Linked DNA regions of Bombyx mori. The protein of the gene in region 1 purifies or fractionates together with the protein of each later gene. This does not show direct contact. Links are inferred from orthologs where the notes say so. Each region holds a gene or a part of one and is shown on either strand. Other genes may lie near its edges.

The links. The genes of interacting proteins can lie anywhere in the genome.
Region 2: the proteins of E3 SUMO-protein ligase RanBP2 (region 1) and nuclear RNA export factor 1 purify together in Drosophila melanogaster (affinity purification with western blotting; 3 studies listed by BioGRID, with this or other methods). This does not show direct contact. The link is inferred for Bombyx mori from reciprocal best matches to the Drosophila melanogaster genes Nup358 and sbr.

Annotation. Positions count from the first base shown.
Region 1 is NC_085121.1:11,012,730-11,016,888, forward strand, and holds the start of E3 SUMO-protein ligase RanBP2, read left to right. Parts: upstream 1-1,200; 5' UTR 1,201-1,434; coding exon 1,435-1,503; intron 1,504-1,578; coding exon 1,579-1,804; intron 1,805-3,104; coding exon 3,105-4,159. Other genes in the region: transcription initiation factor TFIID subunit 6, read right to left, coding at 89-325. UniProt on the Drosophila melanogaster protein: E3 SUMO-protein ligase. Component of the nuclear pore complex (NPC), a complex required for trafficking across the nuclear envelope.
Region 2 is NC_085124.1:4,534,035-4,537,693, forward strand, and holds part of nuclear RNA export factor 1, read left to right. Parts: intron 1-873; coding exon 874-910; intron 911-1,031; coding exon 1,032-1,279; intron 1,280-2,049; coding exon 2,050-2,218; intron 2,219-2,796; coding exon 2,797-2,961; intron 2,962-3,659. UniProt on the Drosophila melanogaster protein: Mediates the export of the majority of mRNAs from the nucleus to the cytoplasm. In ovarian follicle cells, plays a role in transposable element silencing regulation by enabling the nuclear export of flamenco (flam) transcripts and subsequent piRNA biogenesis.

The DNA.
Region 1 (4,159 bases):
AAAAAAAATATTGTTAATTTATCATAGGAGACCATGGAACACTTAAAGCCATATTTAAATATTGCTTTAACTGCAGATATTAAAATACCTCATTGTTTTTTATCTTCAGGGCATGATCTATATCTGTAATGGAAAGTTTTTGTCTCTTTGAGTGATGCATGAACTTCATGGCATCTTGAACAATCACTTTCAAGCGATATGTAACATCATCAGCGAGTTCCTTAGCAGCGTCATCGCCAAGAGTGGCGATACCAACACTCTCTGCTATCACTTTCATGGAATCCAACGTTAACGAAGATCCATAAGCCAATTCTGAGTCGCCCATGATAGAAATTAAATCTATAAAAAAATAAGGTTGTGGTTTATGAAAGTTGTTAAAGTTCTCAATTCAATCAAAGGGAGCATATGAATACCTTTAAGATACGTTGACTACAGCATTAAACAATGATTTATCACCAAATTGGTTACGATTACGATAGACCCCTTGTATCACTGTATTCTTTGGGTTAATCTTTAATTTTTTATTCCTGCTTTTTTCTGATATTTTCCTGTTGTGATAAGGTAAAGTTAATTAATGTAGATAAGTAGGTAGGTATGTACCTGTGTACCCTAATTTATTTACTATTTGGATACAAGTAGACATTCTACCATAGATTTTTTTGGTACAACATATTCTTCTTCTTAGTTTTTGGATCCGGCACGTTTGTGCATTAGCCAGCGTCAAGTAATAAGATTTTTAGGAATCGCCGTTTTAAGTAGGTATTTACAGTTTACGAATAATAAAAAACGAAGGAAACTTAATCAATTGGCATGAAATGCTGCTTATGCTGCCCATGCTCTATTATTTGTCTTGAGTGTGAAAAAACTGGATGAAGCTATTTTATGCCAATACTATGGACATGTCACACCCAAAATTAAAACTACGGTCTCATGCCATAAGATGGGTGTAGATTATAATGTCTATGGGATCAAGTTGAGTGCATGAGCTAAGGATTGCGTAATTTATGATTTTTTTATTAAGCCAAGTAAATTTTATGACAACAAATAGAAACCATATTTTTTTACATTTTTAAGCATTGCTTTATAAAATTGTTCAGTAATGCATGCCACAGAAAAGTATTCCAGAAAATGAACAGTTATGAAACAAACATTTTTAAATTTGTGGTACATTTTGAGCTCATTTTTAGATCTAGCAATTTTTTGCTCTATAACTGACGACATATTGACTTTTGACGGCATTCCAATTTCTATTCGTTATTATTCATTTTGCCAACCATTTCAAAGAGAATAAAGGTAATCAATATAACCAACCATAGCTTCGCGTTCGATTACGGGCATTTGCAGCCTCATGCGCTTCAAGTTGTAATATTATTTTCAAAAGGTCTAGTTTTGTAAATAAGTGACTACTATCGGTTAGACGGAAAAATCGTTAAAATGTATAGAAATAAAAAAGACGTTGATAAGCACGTCGAAAATTTGCTGAACAAAATATCTTCGAGAGAGGTTGGTAGTTGGTGTTCAAATCAAGTATTACGCTTATTGACAAAGTTTTTACCATCGATATTTGGTTATTTTCAGTTTAAAAGTCGTGCTTATTCCATCGCTCGGTTGTATTTTGAAGTTGGCGATTTTGCGAATTGCCAAAAATATGTTGAGCAATATCTTACTCAAAAAGATAACAATGCAGCGGCTTATAAACTTCTCGGACAAGCTTTGCAGAAGATAGGACAAAAAGAAAAGGCTTTAGAACAATACAAAACTTCCCTGGACATTGACCCAGCCCAGACAAGCACTATTCTAGACAGTAAGTCTTACTAAAATAATATTTAATTTACAATTTATCATATAGCTACTTTACTAGGTTTGTTAATATTAAAACCAAAATCTTCTATTAAGCCATTTTTATGTGCAGTATTCTTATATATATTTATTTATATTTATGTGAAAATTATATTCTTAGTTATATTCTTTTTTTCTATCAGTAAGTGTGTTGGTGGTAGTACTATGATTAATTTATTTCCTTAGATGATTCTTGTCAGCTTGGAAGAGGTCATATTTAGTAATAAGACTGCATAAGCATAAGTACAATACATTGTTTGATTTTTTGTTTTTCTTTTGATTTTATATTGTTTTGCAATAAAGAATACTCTATTATTATCATGTATATAATAAACTACATAATATAATATTTTGTATGTTGTTAATAGGTATGTATTCATTTGTAGCTATTGTATAGTTTGAAGTTGTTATACCCGAAAAGATAAAATTCTTGAATGACTTCCACAATGCAGGAACACACTAACTTATAAAATCAACTAAAATTAGGTTTTGCTATACAAATGAGATATAGACCACAAGTCTTAAGATCTGGCCTCTCATGTCTAGAAGCTCTAGTAACCACTTAACACCAAGTGGGTCATGAGCTTGTTCATTCTTTATTAGGCTTGATTGATTGATCATGATTAGGCAAGTACTCACACATGACTAAATACAGTTTCAGATCAACTTTTCTAATTTATTATAAAAAAAAGAATAATATTCCTAACCTAAAAGTACATTTTATTATCCGCAACACGCTTCGTCAGATTACAGAAATAGAGTTATCAGCAACATGCTTCGTCAAAAAGTACAATACTTACTTTCAGTTACAAGCGTCGTCATAAGTAATACATAGGTCCACATATAGGTTTCAGATTGTATGATGCCTATTTCATATCACCTGATGTATAAAATATGTGTGTTGTGATTATTTTCATTCAGTGTGAATTGACCTGACCATTACAAGTAATAAAACCTTGCCATTGTTTACCTTACGTGCACTGCTTCACGTCAGATCTGTTTTGAATATTATACAAAACAATAAACTACAAGTGGCTGAAGGTCTAGTATAACCAGCCACTTTAATGCAATAAAAAAAAAACTAAGATAAATTAATTAATCCACCAAAAAAATAGTGGCAGTCAGCATAGCTTTTCCATCTGTATAATCATCTGTATTCCCTCTGTTATAATTGATTGACTTGTCTAAATTATAAATAATGGTCAGGAAGATCATAATTGATGTTTTAACACCATTTAAATGAAATATAAAAATACTTGTTTCAGTTTGTGAACTTCTAGCTGATTATGATGTGGAAATAGAACCTGGACGTGCAAAATACTGGTGTGAAAAAGCAGAAGCAATATTCCCTAGACACCCTGTTACTTTTCGACTCCGTGAAAGACTTCTATCCTTGCAAAATCCAAATCCTGAAGCACTAGTCAAATTAATAACCACAGAATTGGCAATAAGACCAAAAGATGCACAACTTCATGCACGTTTAATAAAACATTATATTAGCACAAATAAATTAAAAGAAGCTTTTGAACACAGTTGCAATATTGAGTTTGGTGAAAATTTTTTCATGAGTAATTATGCTTGGTATGAAATTTTAGCCAATCTTGTGGTAAATAGTGGAATTAACCATAATGAATGGCTGTACCAGTTATTGCTTTTAACTGTTAGAGAACGTTTGTGTGTCTTAAGTTTAACTGAAACACCAAGTGGTACATCAAAAAGCTTAGTAGAGTCACAAGAGTTTCTACAAGCCTATGATCAGTCAATTGAAATAGTTGCAAAAACAGGTCCTAGTCCTGGCCATGGAGATTTTCATGCAAGTTTGCTTCAACATCATAAAGGACAATTTAGCTTACATGCTGCTACACTGTTACTGAAGAGGGCAAAGAAAGACCAGTTGAATTGGAGAGATGCTGTAAAATATGCTGCACCATTGATGTTAATAGCATGGCAAACATTACCACTTGATCCAAAAGTAAACTGGGTTAAACATGCCCCAGAAAAACAGTCAAATGCAGTTAGACGGTGGTTTTCTGAAGGAACATACAGGTGCTCTCAAGCAGGTCATTATCTTTTGTCAAATATTCAAGATAAGAATCAAAAATTAGATCAAATATCACATACACTTGTTGGAACAACTTGGAGGGAAACAATCTATGAAAAAATTTTTAATAAAAGAAGTCAATTGGAACTAATTAAATCTTCATATTTTGCATCAGACGCTTATAAACCTCCAGTTTTAAGACTACCTCGCAAAATTGAAGTTGAAGCATATGATGATGATGCTCAAAAAGTATTTGGAAATTCACTACACCATTATGTG
Region 2 (3,659 bases), on another chromosome or scaffold:
TATCAAATATGTGGAATAATTTAAAATCAGACTCATCCCCATTGTACATTGCTGTTATGAAATTATATTAAAATTATTAGTACTTGGGCTTCACTAAGGAAATTGGGTATTCTATTGCTCATTATTGTTACTTTACTATTTTAATTTTATTTGAGGTTACCCTGCATCCTGTGTACTATCACTCCGTATAACCTTTTTGTCAAAATAATTCTCAATATTAGAGGCATAAATAACATCTGATATCCATCATTACTAACTTGAGCATCGCAAATAGATGGAAAGGTTTTTTTAAATAATTCATCTAAAAATAGTTCCAAAGAATCATTTTTGACAGAAATATATTATTATATTAATATGTATATATTTTTTAAATAGTATATATTACCTCTTTACCTCCAATATTGAGGTTTAAATTTGAATTATATAATTTTAAGCAATAATTCAAATAAAAATAATTATCTATTTAGTTTTTATTAAATAATGCACACAAACACAACATTGAAGCACATTTGTTTACAACACTTTATAAAAGTAAAAGTATGTAAACAGTGTTTAAATAATACTTGCTACAAAAACTGTTTACTACTATTTAGAGTTTATCTGTGTGACATGTATTTTCATTAAATAAAAATCAAAGAGTAAAAAAACTAAGCAATTATTTTTCCCTAATTATACATTTGATATTTTTGAACAAGTTTTTCACTTAATGTTATGATGTCTCACAATAGAAATTTCAATATCTAAATAATTATTGTTAACAAATCTGCTATCATGTAATCTCAATAAATGAAAAACATTTTGTGTGTTTCTTAACGATTATGAGTTTCAGAGTTCAAATTTGAAACATGTTTCCATAATGTTTGTTCTCTCCAGTGATGTCCGGAAGAAGTTTCCCAAGCTGACAAGATTGGTAAGTCTTTTTTTTATTTTCCGACTTATGTTTATGCTTTACTATTTGTTGCAGTTTATATAATCTCATCACGCCTATTGATTCAACATTGTAAATAAACATAAAATTAAAAAAAAATTAGGATGGCGCGGATCTTCCACCGGCTATTGGATTCGACGTAGCTGAAGATATGGGACTTCCCCCTCGGCAACAATCGTTCCTGGTAGACCCGGCGGGTCAGGATCTTGTCAGGGAGTTTCTCACTCAATACTATGCGATATACGACTCGGAATCTCGGCAACCACTTCTAGAGGCGTACCATGAAAATGCTACAATGTCGATGGCTGCAAATTATTTAACTAATGACAGCAGGAATTCTACGACAACTAGGTGTGTAATATTTATTTAAATTTGATAGATTTTAATTCTGTTTGAAATTTGCAATGTTATGTATATGGGTTTTAGTAACCGTCTACCATGTGGGTCGTGAACTTGATGCTACGCATCTTTTTATATTTGAACACGTGCAGCAAAAAATTTTAGGAAAATTGTGCGGACGAAGGAGTATGAAATTTCCCACACTTTTCCAAAACATTGCACACACTACCATGTATTTGACACACACACACACAATAATATTCTTTGTTTAAGATCAAACTTTTGTAATTGCTTAAAGTCTGTAGTGAAATTGAGAATAGGTTATTATTGTCAATCTTTAATATTATTTGTCTATAGTGTATTTTTAGCGAAATCTGTGATTAAAGAAGTCTTTGACAATAGAACCATAATAATGTTCAAACATATAATTTCAATTAATTAAAGTGGAATTTGGACCACTGCGGGACCACTGGTATATATATAAAAACACCCAAGACTTAAATCGGTAATTAGTGAGTCAATAAATAATATCTAAATAAATGTGTGAAGTTAGACTAACTTTTTGGGGACGATTGTCGAAGTCAAACTTGACATCCTCTGCTAACTCTATCAGAGGATGTCTTTAGACTGTATTAGTTACGATATTTGTCACGATTTCACAGGCACATCTCGTAACTACATTAAAACGGAGTCGAGCACGATTTTCCATCAACAAACAAATATACACTGCTAATTCTTTTAACTGCTTTTAAGTATTTGAGAAAAATATTTTTTAATTACAGGTTAAACTCTTACATATCGAACAGCCGTAATTTAACCCGAATAACAGAAAGGGAGTCGAGAAGGCGTTACCTACGTACCGGAAAGCTGCAAGTAGTCTCCTTTCTATCAGATCTGCCAAAAACAACACACGATTTAATGGGTTTTGCTGTCGACTTACTAGTCTTTACTGTAAGTTTTGACTGTTTTATTTATACATGTTTATCTACATTTAGTCTGGTAGGCAGATGTGTGAATGACCTGTCTAGTGTCAGTAACTGTCCGCTACTGTACTGCTTTGAAGTGATACCCAATCTTTTGAAATGTACCATTATTCTATATTCTATATTCTTATTTCTAACTCTCCGAAGAATTCGTTTTTGAGTTCCTTATATTATGTTGAATAAATTTTGTAAGGTAGTTTTATTGAAATACTGCCTAATTTCAATATATCATGTATTGTAACTTTAAATTCCATTACTTTAAATAAAAACAATGTATTATAGATGTTAGATAAGGATATTTATAAATTGAAAAAAAAGTGTTAAGAAAAACAAACATTAAACACATATAATATGCACAAAAAAATGGTGTATGAAACACAGAAAATGACCTAATACTCCAGAAATTAATATTTACAGGATAGTAATATAAAGTATGTATATAAAATTTTTAGTGTCCTAGAATACCAACTAATAAAAAAAAAATATAGCTCAGTCTCAACCTTAAGCTAGCTAAGACTAGGTAAATTGTTTTTTTTTTGTCTACAGCCGGCCATGATCGTCCTTACAATGAACGGTGTGTTCAAAGAAACGAACACTCCCAATAACCCGATGCGTTCGTTTCATCGGACGTTCGTGATAGTTTCAAATGCGAATGGCGGCTTCTCAATCATCAACGATATGTTATATATCACGAATACTACTAAAGAACAGGTTAGTGACCATTAACAAATGAATTATATGAAAATTAAGTTTGAAACACCTGTGCCTAATTAAATTCTGATTGATTCAAGTCTAATATAATTATTGCTTTAATGAATGTTGCGAGCATGCATGCAATAAAAAATACATTACGCACACTACCATGTGTTTGACAAACACACATATGAGTCGTCTATTATCAAAGCCGGCAATCTGACTTTTGGACAATGATTGGTAAATCAGAAAAACGAATTATTGGCTTTGTATTCCATTGGCAGTCACAAAACTCTTCGGAACGACATCTTAGATAAATAACAGGGTAACTATTAACCTTTATTTAATGCAAGTTTTGAACCGTATTCTTTGAAGGAGACGATTATATTCAAATCAATCTGAATTGACATATCAATAAAAAAAAATTGTCCAAATGCACAGATTGCCACCTTTGATAATAGACGACTCATATATACTCTTTGGTTTATTGTTAAAGCTTGTGTTCAAATTGGAAAGAGATTAATATTGTTTGTCTTTAATATTATTTTTCTATAGTGTAGTCTTGGCGAAATCTGTGATTATAGAAGTAGTATGTAGTAGAAGTCTGACAATAGAACCATAATAATGTTCAAACTTATAATTTCAATTAAATATAGTCGACTACCTACTTTGGGTATATGTAGGTAGGTAGGTAGGTAGTATACTATAATATGTAT